Kluyveromyces lactis: one gene and its partner. The protein of the gene in region 1 purifies or fractionates together with the protein of each later gene. This does not show direct contact. Links are inferred from orthologs where the notes say so. Each region holds a gene or a part of one and is shown in the gene's direction. Other genes may lie near its edges.

What was found.
Region 2: the proteins of ATG17 (region 1) and ATG11 purify together in Saccharomyces cerevisiae (affinity purification with mass spectrometry; 4 studies listed by BioGRID, with this or other methods). This does not show direct contact. The link is inferred for Kluyveromyces lactis from reciprocal best matches to the Saccharomyces cerevisiae genes ATG17 and ATG11.

The regions. Positions count from the first base shown.
Region 1 is NC_006040.1:230,963-236,152, forward strand, and holds ATG17 (protein kinase regulatory subunit ATG17), read left to right. Parts: upstream 1-2,418; coding exon 2,419-3,690; downstream 3,691-5,190. Other genes in the region: mRNA splicing protein SPP382, read right to left, coding at 201-2,204; threonine--tRNA ligase MST1, read right to left, coding at 3,799-5,184. UniProt on the Saccharomyces cerevisiae protein: Autophagy-specific protein that functions with ATG13, ATG29, and CIS1/ATG31 in response to autophagy-inducing signals as a scaffold to recruit other ATG proteins to organize pre-autophagosomal structure (PAS) formation.
Region 2 is NC_006038.1:1,056,849-1,063,911, forward strand, and holds ATG11 (autophagy protein ATG11), read left to right. Parts: upstream 1-2,009; coding exon 2,010-5,150; downstream 5,151-7,063. Other genes in the region: POL30 (proliferating cell nuclear antigen), read left to right, coding at 146-922; peptide alpha-N-acetyltransferase MAK3, read right to left, coding at 1,009-1,545; TAH18 (NAPDH-dependent diflavin reductase), read right to left, coding at 5,152-7,026. UniProt on the Saccharomyces cerevisiae protein: Involved in cytoplasm to vacuole transport (Cvt), pexophagy, mitophagy and nucleophagy. Recruits mitochondria for their selective degradation via autophagy (mitophagy) during starvation, through its interaction with ATG32.

The DNA.
Region 1 (5,190 bases):
TAATGAACTGACCTGTTCATCGAACTCGCCTTCTTTGTCCAATAAAAAAAAAATTAACATACATTCTTATTACATTCTACAATTCCATTCGACATAATGGCAATGTGAAAACGAACAAAAATCCAATGAAATGTTCTGATAGCGTGTATAAACACTACATAAAGACATTTTCCTAATGATATGCCATGCTTATTCTGTTTTCAAATTAGATCCAGTAATTGGTAGAGAAAAATTGGCTCAAATCTTGATTCTGTTCTGTTTCTCCTTTGTAACCATAAAATATCTCCCATAAGGACTACATTTACTCTTTTATTGTTATATTTACTCACAGTGAATACCGGAGCTACCTTCTCTTTGCCAAATATATTAATTGAGGCAGTATCATTATCAGTTTTTCTGAAGGATAATCCATGATCATGACAAAAAGTTTCTACAACAGTTTTAAAGGTGGTAGAAATTTTGGTCATGGGTGTATTGTTAAAAGCGTTGAACCTGGATTCCGACTGGCCAGTGCTTTCAATTAAACTTTTCAAGGAAAGCCGTTCGTCATGGTCCGAAAGTGTTGACGGATGATCGACAAAGTCAAGAAGTTTCTTCACTTCTTCTACATTATCTAATGAAGATGCAGTGTAAATTCTATTAATCATGTATTTTAGCCATGAAGAAGCTTCATAACGGAAGGTGCTGCTCTTAAACACAAACCATTGGAATAAGGTCTTTAATAGCGAGTTGTTAATGACCTTATATACTTTATTCCTGGTTGGCAAATCGAAGAAATCATTATATTCTTTCAACACATCAATAATAGCTGAAATGTAAATTTCATTCTCTGCATCGGTAAATTCGTCAATCAGGTGAAAGTGTGAATCGAAGTAATCAGCGAAAGATGAAAGCCAATACCTGTTGACTAATTCATAAAACTTGGAGTCACCCACTGCCTCCTTCAAGAGAATAACGTTTTGAGGGTTAACAGTCATTGAAGGTTCCCAATTTTTCAAAAACTGCTCGAACTCCAGCAGGATAAGTGCTTTTAATGACTTTAAATCCCTTTCTCCCAAAATGAGATGCAACTCGCCGTATGTCACCATGAATTCATCTGACAGAAATTGAGGAGAAAGTTGTATTTCGAGAGCCGGCATAATGTAGCGGGAAAGGAAGTGTTCCCTGCAGCTAATAAAGTCAATAATAGGTAAATACTGAACGGTTATTTGACGTAGCATCCTCGAATATCCGGTATTTGAATCTAACCAATAACATAAGGGTTGATACACCAACCTATAAATGCTGCTTTGTGTTTCGTTCAAAATATATCCAGATTCCATTCTATATGAAAGAAACCTTATTGCTGCCCTCAAATGGTTCAACTTTTCGACCTGCATATCTGCCGTATTAATTCCACGATTAAGCTCTTTGAGCAAGAACATGGTACAGAGCTTATCAAGTATGTCATCGTCATTTATTTCTAGGCATTCAGTAATCTGATCTTCAAGACTTGGTTGCGAAAGTTGTTTTTCCTTGACTTTTTCTAAAACACTTTGTAGCCTTTCCTCTTGGTGTACTTTGCGCTCGTCATCTAGTTGAGCTTTTTCCAAGCCAACTTGTATTCTATCTATGTCCGAATGAAGCTGCAGAAGCTTATTAGCAATTTCATTCAAAGAGGAAATCTCTTCTTCATGTAATTCAGAACCATTGATTGTTCTTGTCACCGTATCAGGTAGTTCTATTTTTAATTCCGCAAGGAGACTTATATTTTGAATCAATTTCTCAAGCTGGGTGGCACGACGAGTCTTAAACTCCACTGTTTTCTTTTTATTTGAACTTTCATCTGATGATGCTGAAGTATTACTATAGTTGGAGTCATCTCTATCATGTACTGCACTTAACATCCCTAATCCGACACCTTTAGGACGAGTGACTGTTTCGATTGGGTTCACTATACCTTTCCCATCTCGTCCTAAACCTTCACCTTGTTTGTAACCCATTTTTGATAAAAGCTTGGCACCCATACCATAGGTCTTTAACATCTGGTCGCTTTTCAATCCATCATTGGAGTTGGCTTGTCGTACCGGTTCATAGTCTTCTTCTTCTTTTTGTTCTTCATTGTCATCGCTATATCCATATGGATCGGTAAATACCATACTATTCATTGTCATACTGATCTTTCTTCTTTTGAACTGATCATCGTCACTGATATGTTCTGACATCTATACTGAATCACTGGAGTAGTAATAGCTGACTTGGAGTGACTGATACTCCTTTCAATCTTTACTCCGATTAATAGGTATTTATTCATACTTTGAAAAGATTTAAAGGTTTGAAGTTCAGTCTTCGAAGTGAAATTGACCGTTTAAGGGTTTCAAATTGGAAACGTTGAAGAGATGAAGATCTTTCGGTTGATCTGAACTGCGTCTACAAGAAATGAGTGATGCTGCAACTACTATACCCAGTGATGAGATAGATAAATTGTGGAATAAGGCGAGAAACCAGCTTGTGGAAGCTCAAGTCGAATGTGAAGAATCATTAAAAATCCTCTCTAAAGTGCGAACTGAAATGGACAGCTCTCAAAAGTCCAGATTTAAACTTAAATTTATACTTAATTGTTTGGTGAACCAGGTTGAGTTCTTCAAGAATATCATGCTCGAGAAATGTATTTCTACAGAGTTGATTGACAATGAATGGTCAAAGCTGGTTTTAGTCGAGATAGTCAATGACGTGAGTTATTGGCAAAACGAGATAACAACAAAGATGAAGATCTTGCAGGGTACAAAATACGACTTGACTGACGATCACAGTAGCCTTTCAGATTTCATATGCATGGATCACGTAGACATACTACAACAAAAAATCGATGAGATTCCTATTATAAAACAACAAGTGACAAACATACGACAACACTACAAATCGATAAAAGATCGAATAGAAAACCAACTAGTGGCTGTAAAGTTGAAAAAACTCAGAACTTACTTTGATTCACATTTCAGCAGGGATAGCAAAAATAATCTATTCAAATTGTTGGAAAGTGATTATGTCACTGAATTGAACGAATTTGAGAATGAACTTGCCGATTTCTTGAGATCAATCACTGATCATTTCGACAAATGCACGATATTGAAGGAACAGCAGATTCCACTACCAGATTTGAAGGAACTTTTCCAGATTGTAAAGAAAGACGATACACAGTTAGAAAATATAAGGGAATTAGTATTCGAAACGGGACTTGAAGTGAAAGCTTTCTCAAAGAAAGTCAATGAAACAATAAGTGAAATAATGGACAAAATTGGTGGATTCCATCTGCTGGCTTCCAAGATTGTGACAGAGTTAGAAAAATGTGAGGAATACTTATCTATCTTCCAAAAGATTGCTAATTTAGTATTCGTTTATAAGGAATCTTGCATAAAAAAGATTGAACAAGTGCAACAACTCTGTGAGTTTTACGATAAGTTCAAATTAGGGTATAAAAACCTTCTACGAGAAAGAGACAGACGGAAAGCCACTGCGTTACAAATGGAGAAAATATTAAAGGAATGTCAGGAGAAACTACAGGCACTGAGTGATGCTGACTTGGACCAACGCCAGCAATTTTTACTTGAAAATGGTGACTATCTTCCCGAAAACATCTGGCCAGGTTATATCGACGATATGGAATCGATGTATAGTTTCGAATATAGCATACATAATGTACCGAATTGACGGTATTGTGTTATTATTGATACATAAGTATACATATTTACAGGTATAAATTATCTTTTACATCGTTATGGTTAACATTACTTTCTGTGGTTCAAAAATTGCAAGGTATCATTTATAATTTTTCTCAAGATCGACGAACCTTTCAAAGACATCATCGATAGTTAGTAAATCCACTTTCTTCGACTCCCTGGTTCTAATCGCCACCTTGCCTGCTTCAACTTCTTTGTCACCAATCATTATAATATAAGAATAATGCTTCTTGATGGCTTCTCTAATTCTTTTACTTACAGATTCATCTCTTGCATCCATATCAACAGAGAAATGGAAGCTGTTGAGTGGAATTGGGCTTTTTGGATCACTATTTTCACCACGTAATGAGTTGACTGTCTTGAAAGCCAATTCCATTATCTTCTCATCTTCAGTCTTCACTGGGATGACCATACATTGGTTTGGATTCAACCAAAACGGCCATTTACCTTTGCTTGAATCAATTAAAATGGCCATGAATCTTTCCACCGAACCGAAAACAGCCCTATGAATCATGATAGGTCTCTTGTAACTATTATCCTTGTCCTTGAATTGTAAATCGAATCTTTCTGGCAATTGAAAATCTAATTGAATAGTGGCGACTTGATGTGATTTGCCTGTATGATCATTGACTAAAATGTCAATCTTAGGACCGTAGAAGGCACCATCTCCTTCATTGGTTGTCCATGGTTGCCCCCACGATTGCAAAGTATCCTTTAATACATCTTCAGCATGATCCCATACTTCAATATCGCCAACGTACTTCTCAGGACGAGTAGAGAGGGTCAATGAGTACGCTGCCTGCTTTGAATCACCCGATATTGGGAACACTTTTGTATAACACATATCCACCAGCTCCAAACATTTTTGAATCTCTTGACGGACTTGATCAGGTGTACAAAAGATATGTCCGTCATCTTGATGAAACTTTCTGACTCTTGTTAGACCCGATAAAGCACCAGATGCCTCGTTCCTATGCAATGGTGAGAAATCTGAGAACCTCAATGGCAATTCGTTGTAGGATCTGTCGAATCTTTTAAAAACTACACAATGCCCGGGACAATTCATCGGTTTCAAACCATATTCTTCCTTAGAAACGTCATTGCCCTCAACCCTAAACATATCATCCTTGTAATTTTCCCAGTGTCCAGATTGCTCCCATAAGGTTTTTCTATAAATCAATGGAGTAACCACCTCCTGGAATCCGTATTTATTCTGCTGTTGAAGCTTCATAAAACTAACCAACTTATTGAAGATTTTGGTACCATTAGGCAAGAAAAAGATTGAACCAGGTGATATTGGATCTGTTATGTATAACTCCTGTTTGGTCGATACCTCATGTGCAGTGGTGGCTGCACTATCGACAGCTTGTGGGCCCTCATTATGATTGGAACAGAGTCTTTTGACAAACTGACAAGGTACGCCCGCATTTCGTACTGGTAGGTAGTTTATTCGCTTTAATAACATATTTCA
Region 2 (7,063 bases), on another chromosome or scaffold:
GTCTCACTTTTTTTTACCCAGAACAATTTTCAATGTTATATAACTATATCTTTACTCCTTCAAGGCCGTGAAACTACTGCTCCTCTCGATAGTCCAAGAGTATTCACTTCTCACCTCTGACATCAAACAGACCTACCTATTATCAATGCTAGAAGCTAAATTCACAGAAGCTGGGTTATTCAAAAGAATTATCGATTCCTTTAGAGACTGTGTCCAATTGATTAACTTCAATTGTTCAGAAAAGGGTATCGCTGCACAAGCCGTCGATGACTCTCGTGTCCTCCTTGTCTCTCTTTCCATCAATGTAGAAGCATTTGAAGAGTTTAGAGCGGACAGAAATGTCGTGCTAGGTTGCGATTTGACGAACTTGAGTAAGATTCTTCGTTGTGGTAACAATTCGGACAATCTAACGCTTATCGCTGAAGATTCTCCAGATTCTATTCTAATCTTATTCGAAGATACAAAAAGAGACCGTGTCAGTGAATACTCTTTAAAATTGATGGAAATCGAAACAGATTTCTTGGAGATCTCTGATATGAAATATGAATCCTATATTACAATGCCATCTGCTGATTTCGCGAAGACCGTACGTGACTTAAGTCAATTGAGTGATTCTATTAACATCTTAGTCACTAAGGATACCATCAAATTCGCCGCAGAAGGTGATATCGGAAGTGGGTCCATTGTTGTGAAACCTTTCACCGATTTGGATCATCCTGAAAGTTCAATTAAAGTTACCATAGAAAAACCAGTAGATTTAAGGTTCGGTGCTAAATATTTAAACGACATCATTAAGGGGTCCTCTCTATCAGATACAATCACTATAAAATTATCGGAAGAAGCGCCAGCCCTTTTCCAATTCGATATCTCAAGCGGTAATTTGCAATTCTATTTGGCTCCAAAGTTCGATGAAGAGGAATGAAATCTCTTTTCGCAATGCTATATATATATATATATTGTGTGTGTATTAAAATGACAATTACTGATATAAAATCAATTCAATTTACTTTAGAGTATGGTGTCGGTAGGAAAGGAATCCATCCCCAGGAATGTGCTTCTCACACAACTTTTCTCTGTAATCGGTAAAATGAGTTTAAACGCATCTCCCTGGTTCAAATAATACCGGAATAATCTCTTCATTCTGATGAAGCCCATATTCTCGTATAAATGCAAAGCAGCTGCATTGCTGCATTCAGTCTCCAACATAATCTCGTCACATTTTTCATCAATCATAGTATCTATAGCTAAGGTAATTAGTTTTTTCGCTATCCCACGGCCTCTATATTGTTTCTCCACTGCTAACATGCCAATGTATCCTCTTAACCGCACTCCATTATGAGTATCGCTCTTGCATACTATACATCCTATGGGCTTACCCGATCCTTCTGCCCATGCCAAATACGTTAGGTTCGGCCATTGGTTTAGGAAAAATCTGTACACGTATATCGAATATGGCTCACTGAGATCCTCATCGATCAATTTCTTGATGGTGGAAAACTCCATGTCATTACTGATATCGAATCGTGTGTACCTTATTTCGACCATCCTTTGCTTAGTTTATCTGCAGTATACTTTCTTATTAATTTTTAATTAGTTATATCAATGAGAGTAGATGCTGCCGAAGCTAGCGAATATAAAAAGCTTTACTTAAAACTGTTTATCTCATCATCTGGAGGTTTAAAACCAAATTTTTATAATAAAAGCATATCAGTCACGTGCTCTTGCTTCACCAAACTGATTCGAAAAAAGATTATATGGACCCCCCGGTAAGTTTTATAGGTGAGAAAACCTGTTACATAGTTTTTCAGTCCCCTGACGTTTATCGGCTCTTATTCCACTTGTTGCTTACGGCTTTAGTACTCCAGATTAGATATATCTCAGCATTTAAAGAATACTCATGATATAGAATCCTGTGAGCTAACACCCCCCATTTCATCATCATTAAATCGACATTGTCCCTTTATTTCTTTCCAAAGTCTTAAGGTTACAATCTGATAATTTTATTAATAATGCCGCCATGCAAGTTGATATGTGCTACATCAGGAGTTTCACACCAATTATCTAATGTTTATTTCCCTAGTTTCTTAGATTTGAAACAGTTTGCAAGTGATACTTTCCAGATACCGCTCGATGACATACTTCTATTGTTACCTTATGGAATGATATTGAAGAAAGCAGGATGGGATTCCAGAAAGCTGCAACAAGAAGGATTGGAAGAAATATACGTATTTGACCGTGGAATATTCAATGAGGAGATCGAGTTTTCCCCAAAGCCAAGGTTCCAACTTTTCAAACCTTTGCCATCGCCGATAAGCGATTCGTTACAGTTGGATAAAAATGTCATTCTACGGAATTTAGGGTGGTTGAAGGCTTTGCAATCAGACGTTGAATTTTTCCAGGACGTTATAAAAGAAACTTATCAAGACGTTCAACGGTTATTAGAGTGTGGTACTGTTATGCTTGAGTATTTGAAAAACTACTGCTATGAAGTGGAGGTGCTGTATAATGGCAACGTTGATTTTCTTAACAAGCTTCACGAAGATGGTGCCTCAAATCAATGGCATTCCTTTTATGATAATATTCTCGGCAATATTAAAGTTTCTAATCAGTTATTATCATCATTTTTCAATTATAGCGAGCTAACAGAGATCGAGGATTCCATTCACCGTCTGGATCGTGAACTAAATGCGAAGTTAAAGGAGTTAAAGAAAAGTATTGATGAATGCTACCAGCAGAGAACACAGTTAATCTCAGATTTAGATGATGTGAAAAAAAATTCAGTTGTCAGTTCTGATGATATGGACAACCAAATGGTTGAACGATTTAAAGAAATGGCTACAGAGATTGAGCTTGTATCAAATCAATATAAAGAAGAGGCTTCTAAAGATGCTTCAAAAGAGAAGTTTGAAACATTCAAAAGTGTACATGTCCCCAAATTACAAACAATTTCGCAAGCAATGTTCAATAAAGCTTCCACGAATTTAGATACAAAAGCTACTGTCCAGCAGAAGTTGCAACAGTTGTACCTTTCCGTTGCAAAATCGCAGATGAGCGTAATAATGGTGAAGTCGGTGTTAACTAAAGACGTTAAGACCAATATGAAGTTTTTGAAGAATGAAGAACTGAAATTATCTCAAGTATTGGATTTGCCTATGTGTTATGGATTGTATTTGATTGAGTTATACAGAGAGCAGCTCTGGACAGACCGTTACTCTCAACTTCGACAACAACATGAATCTTCATTGCAGCATCTTTTGGATGACGAAGTACGACAAAGAAACTCTTGGTACAAAGATTTCCAATGGATAACTCGATTTCTAGATGTTGATAGTTTGCTACCATCATCAGTATACATTCCGTCCATAAGTGATCATAAACAGGTGACATTGTCTCAGATTAAAGATTATATTAATCAACTTGCTTCATTGAACTTAGGTGAACCTACAATTAATTTACTTAAGTCAAAAGTCTCGCAGGCGGAGCTGACAGGCTTGCATTTACCTACAGATTACGCGCTCTCGAAGGACTCGGAGCTTATCATTGAAGGATACAAGGCTCGTATCAAAAAGCTAGAACATTTATTACTTGATGCACAGTTCCATCAGTACGACTCATGGCCAGCTGGCATTCTGAATAAGGAAACTGCAATGGTCCAAATGTTCCGCAATAGTACCGTGAGCACAAAGTTACAGCAAAGTTCAACATTCGATCTCCCAAGTTCCAAACAACAACACGAATCAAATAAAACCTTCGAGGAATTTCAAAACCTGCAAAAGGATATAAGCAAATACTCTGAATTAACCAAGACCCTTGAAACTGAACTTTCAACACTTAAAAGTCAACTTTCCCATATGGAGGTCGAGAAAAATGCTTACAGAGAATCCATGACAAATTTAAACAAAGAATTATCAACGTTGTTGATTGAACGCGAAAACTTCTATTCTGAAATGAATTCTCGTTCGGAGAATTTCAAGAAGCATTTAGGATCCCTCTTTGAGCAAAATGAGGAACTTGTAAGGGAATCTGAAGAATCCCGACGGAAATCCGAGGATTTAAACAAAATGAAAGAAGATCTTCTTGTCAATATGGCAACCCAAGAAGTTCAAGCAGAACAGGAACGGGCTTCCTTGCAAGAAGAAGTTGAAAGTCTTAAAAAAGATCTTAACCAATTGCAAATATCAAAAAGCAAAACAATTGATGCAGAGTTTATCAACTTTAATAAGCAATTGGAAAAAACTTTATATGATGTTTTCCAAGGTAGTATTTTCATTTTGGCGAGTATCGGGTTGTTACTTTCCAAAGATCAAGATGGAAACTTTCAAATTGTTCGCGTCAAAGGTTTAAGAAAAGATCTGGATTCAAGTTTGGCTGATATGAATAGTTCCATGGCAAAAAGTGTAATTGCACAAGAAATAAAGAGTACTTTCGAATCTATAAAGGATCAGATTGACTACAAACCTCATGAAAATTTCATTACCTACATAGAAAAACTATTTGGTAACCAATTGTTCGAAACGTCAGTGATCCGCAGGTTCAATGATATCGAAAGTTTGGCGAAAAAGCTTAGGAAAGAGAACAAGAATAAAAAACTCCTTTTGCAGAAAAGTGCTAGAGACAAAATTACAATATATAACTTCCAACCGGGAGATCTTGCTCTTTTTTTACCAATCAACGATCAGGAATTGCTATTAAATTCTTCAATATCGTCGCTAAATTCTTCATTTTCATCCATTGATTTAAACTCATCTACACAGTCTGTTATGCAACGTCCAAATGTTGTCAAGTCTGATATTGCAGCTAGCATTCTTAACGGAAGCTCTGCTTCTATCACAGAAAATATTCCATTAAGTAAAGCGAACAGGAATCCTGCACTCAACGCTAATGGCAGACCGGATACATTCAATGTTAACACCCAAGATTCGGCCAAGAAGCATGTTGTATGGGCAATTTTCACTGCGACAAATACTGATATCAAATACGTTCTTAGAAACTCAACGTCTAATTACGAATTATTGAAAGATAGGGAATGGGCAATGGGTAGAATCTCGGCCTTGGAAAAGCATGTGGTTGGAGATGATTCAAAGAACCCCTTTAAGTTTCCAAGAAATACCGTGTGGTATGAAGTTGACGCTTTTTTCAATCTTGACTGAACTACCATGTCTCTTGCATATACCTGTCAGTTCTTTCCATTTCTTTTAGATAATGCTCGGCTTCTTCTGCGTTTTCGAAGTTTCCATGTTTTTTCAGGATCTCAACTATAGTCAACCTAACCTGAACTGGCATTTTACCGGAGGATCCACAAATATATACTATGGCAGATTTTTTCAAAATTAGGTCTGCTATTAGACTAGATTGATTCCACAACTGATCTTGAACATACTTAGCATGAGGAGAATTTATGGGATCCCGCGAAAAACAAGTGAATAAATTAATTTTACCTTCTTTCTTCCACATAGATAACGTATCTTCATATAAAAAGTCCTTATCCTTCATTCTGTTACCAAAAAATAAGTACTGATCCTTGAATAAATTAGACTCGATCAAGCACTTCATTGGTGCGAGACCTACCCCCGGAGAAGTCATGATGATAGGTTTGCCAATAATATCTTCATGAAGTAAATGATTATTTTGAAGTTTATAACGAACTGTATCGTTTTCGGTTAATGTAAGTAGGTAGTTCGTGCATAGTCCTTTCCGTACCTTTCTTAACAAAGTCTTATAACGAACAATAGCAATAGTTAGTTCAACATTAGGATCAGATGGTGCACTTGAGATGGAATAAAATCTGGGCTTTATCATGGGTAGATAATCTAATGCGAACTCCCATGGAAGTTTTAAGAATTCAAAATCCTGTATAACCTCTAATACTGATCTTCTTGGTCTATTGCAATAATCATACAAGTCCTGTAGGTCTTGTCCATACCCGAACTGTCTTAGTTTATCCCTCTGTTGTTCTAATAGCTCTTGATCGGTTGGTCTATCTTCGTGAGCATTTGCAAAAGTCCAAGTTTTCATGAAGAAGCTCTGCCTAGGTATACTGACGATATCAAAATGATATTTTAACAAGGTTCTTAGAGTAAGTGGTTTCACAACACCACCATCTCTGAACCGATCACAATTTTCCAGGTCTGTTATTGTAAGAAGTTCATCAGCGACCTTCTTCCAATGAGGTTGAGCTTCGAGGAATAATTCAACGTCATTGTCTGAATTTTCGGGATATAAAGAAACTGTATCGCCTGGATGATAGGCTTCATGATCCTCGGTTTCAAACACAAATTGTCGAACGTCCTGAAAATGATCTTTAGCAGTTATTTGGTTGTTTTTCTTAACGGTTCCATGTCTTATTGTCTCATCTCCAACAAATTGAATCTTAGAATCAGGTAGCTGATCATTTGTCGATCCATTAACAGTGGATATTTCTAATATATTGCTCGGTTTCAAGTAAACATCTTCGGCTAGGCCTACTCTGGGCATCATTTTGCCATCGTGCTTTCTGTTGGGGTACTTCTCTAACATGTAGGCGATGATTCTTTTCTCAAATTCATAGTAGACGGATTCAACTCCATTTCCAGTATCCTTATTACTCCCAGCAAGTCCCAACTCATCAGCTTCTAAGCGTGGAAAAATCTCACTAGCGCCAAGTTGATTGACAATACGTTCATGAAGCTTTCTGATACCAAAGTTGAATCTTGGATACGAGGAATCACCCAACCCAAGCATGGCAACGTTAACATGATCTAAAAGATCCGCAGGAAGTGTAGATTTCTTCAAAAACTGCCAGAGAGTCCCCTGAGCCCGTCCATTACAGTTCTCTCTTGCGTTACGCGGTAGTTCTCCTTGTCCAGTCGTAGAGCAGATGATAAACAGGTACTTGCACTGCAGAACGCTTTTCGGATGGTAATCACCGATCTTAATCAATGTATGTGAGAAATGCAGTCTCTTTAACTTATGAGAAAGAATATGCGCAAAATCTTGCGCATTTCCTGTCTCAGAACCATACAATATGACAATCTTCTTGTTCTGCATGGTTTCAGTAGTCCGAAATACTTCTTAGCAGCTTTAA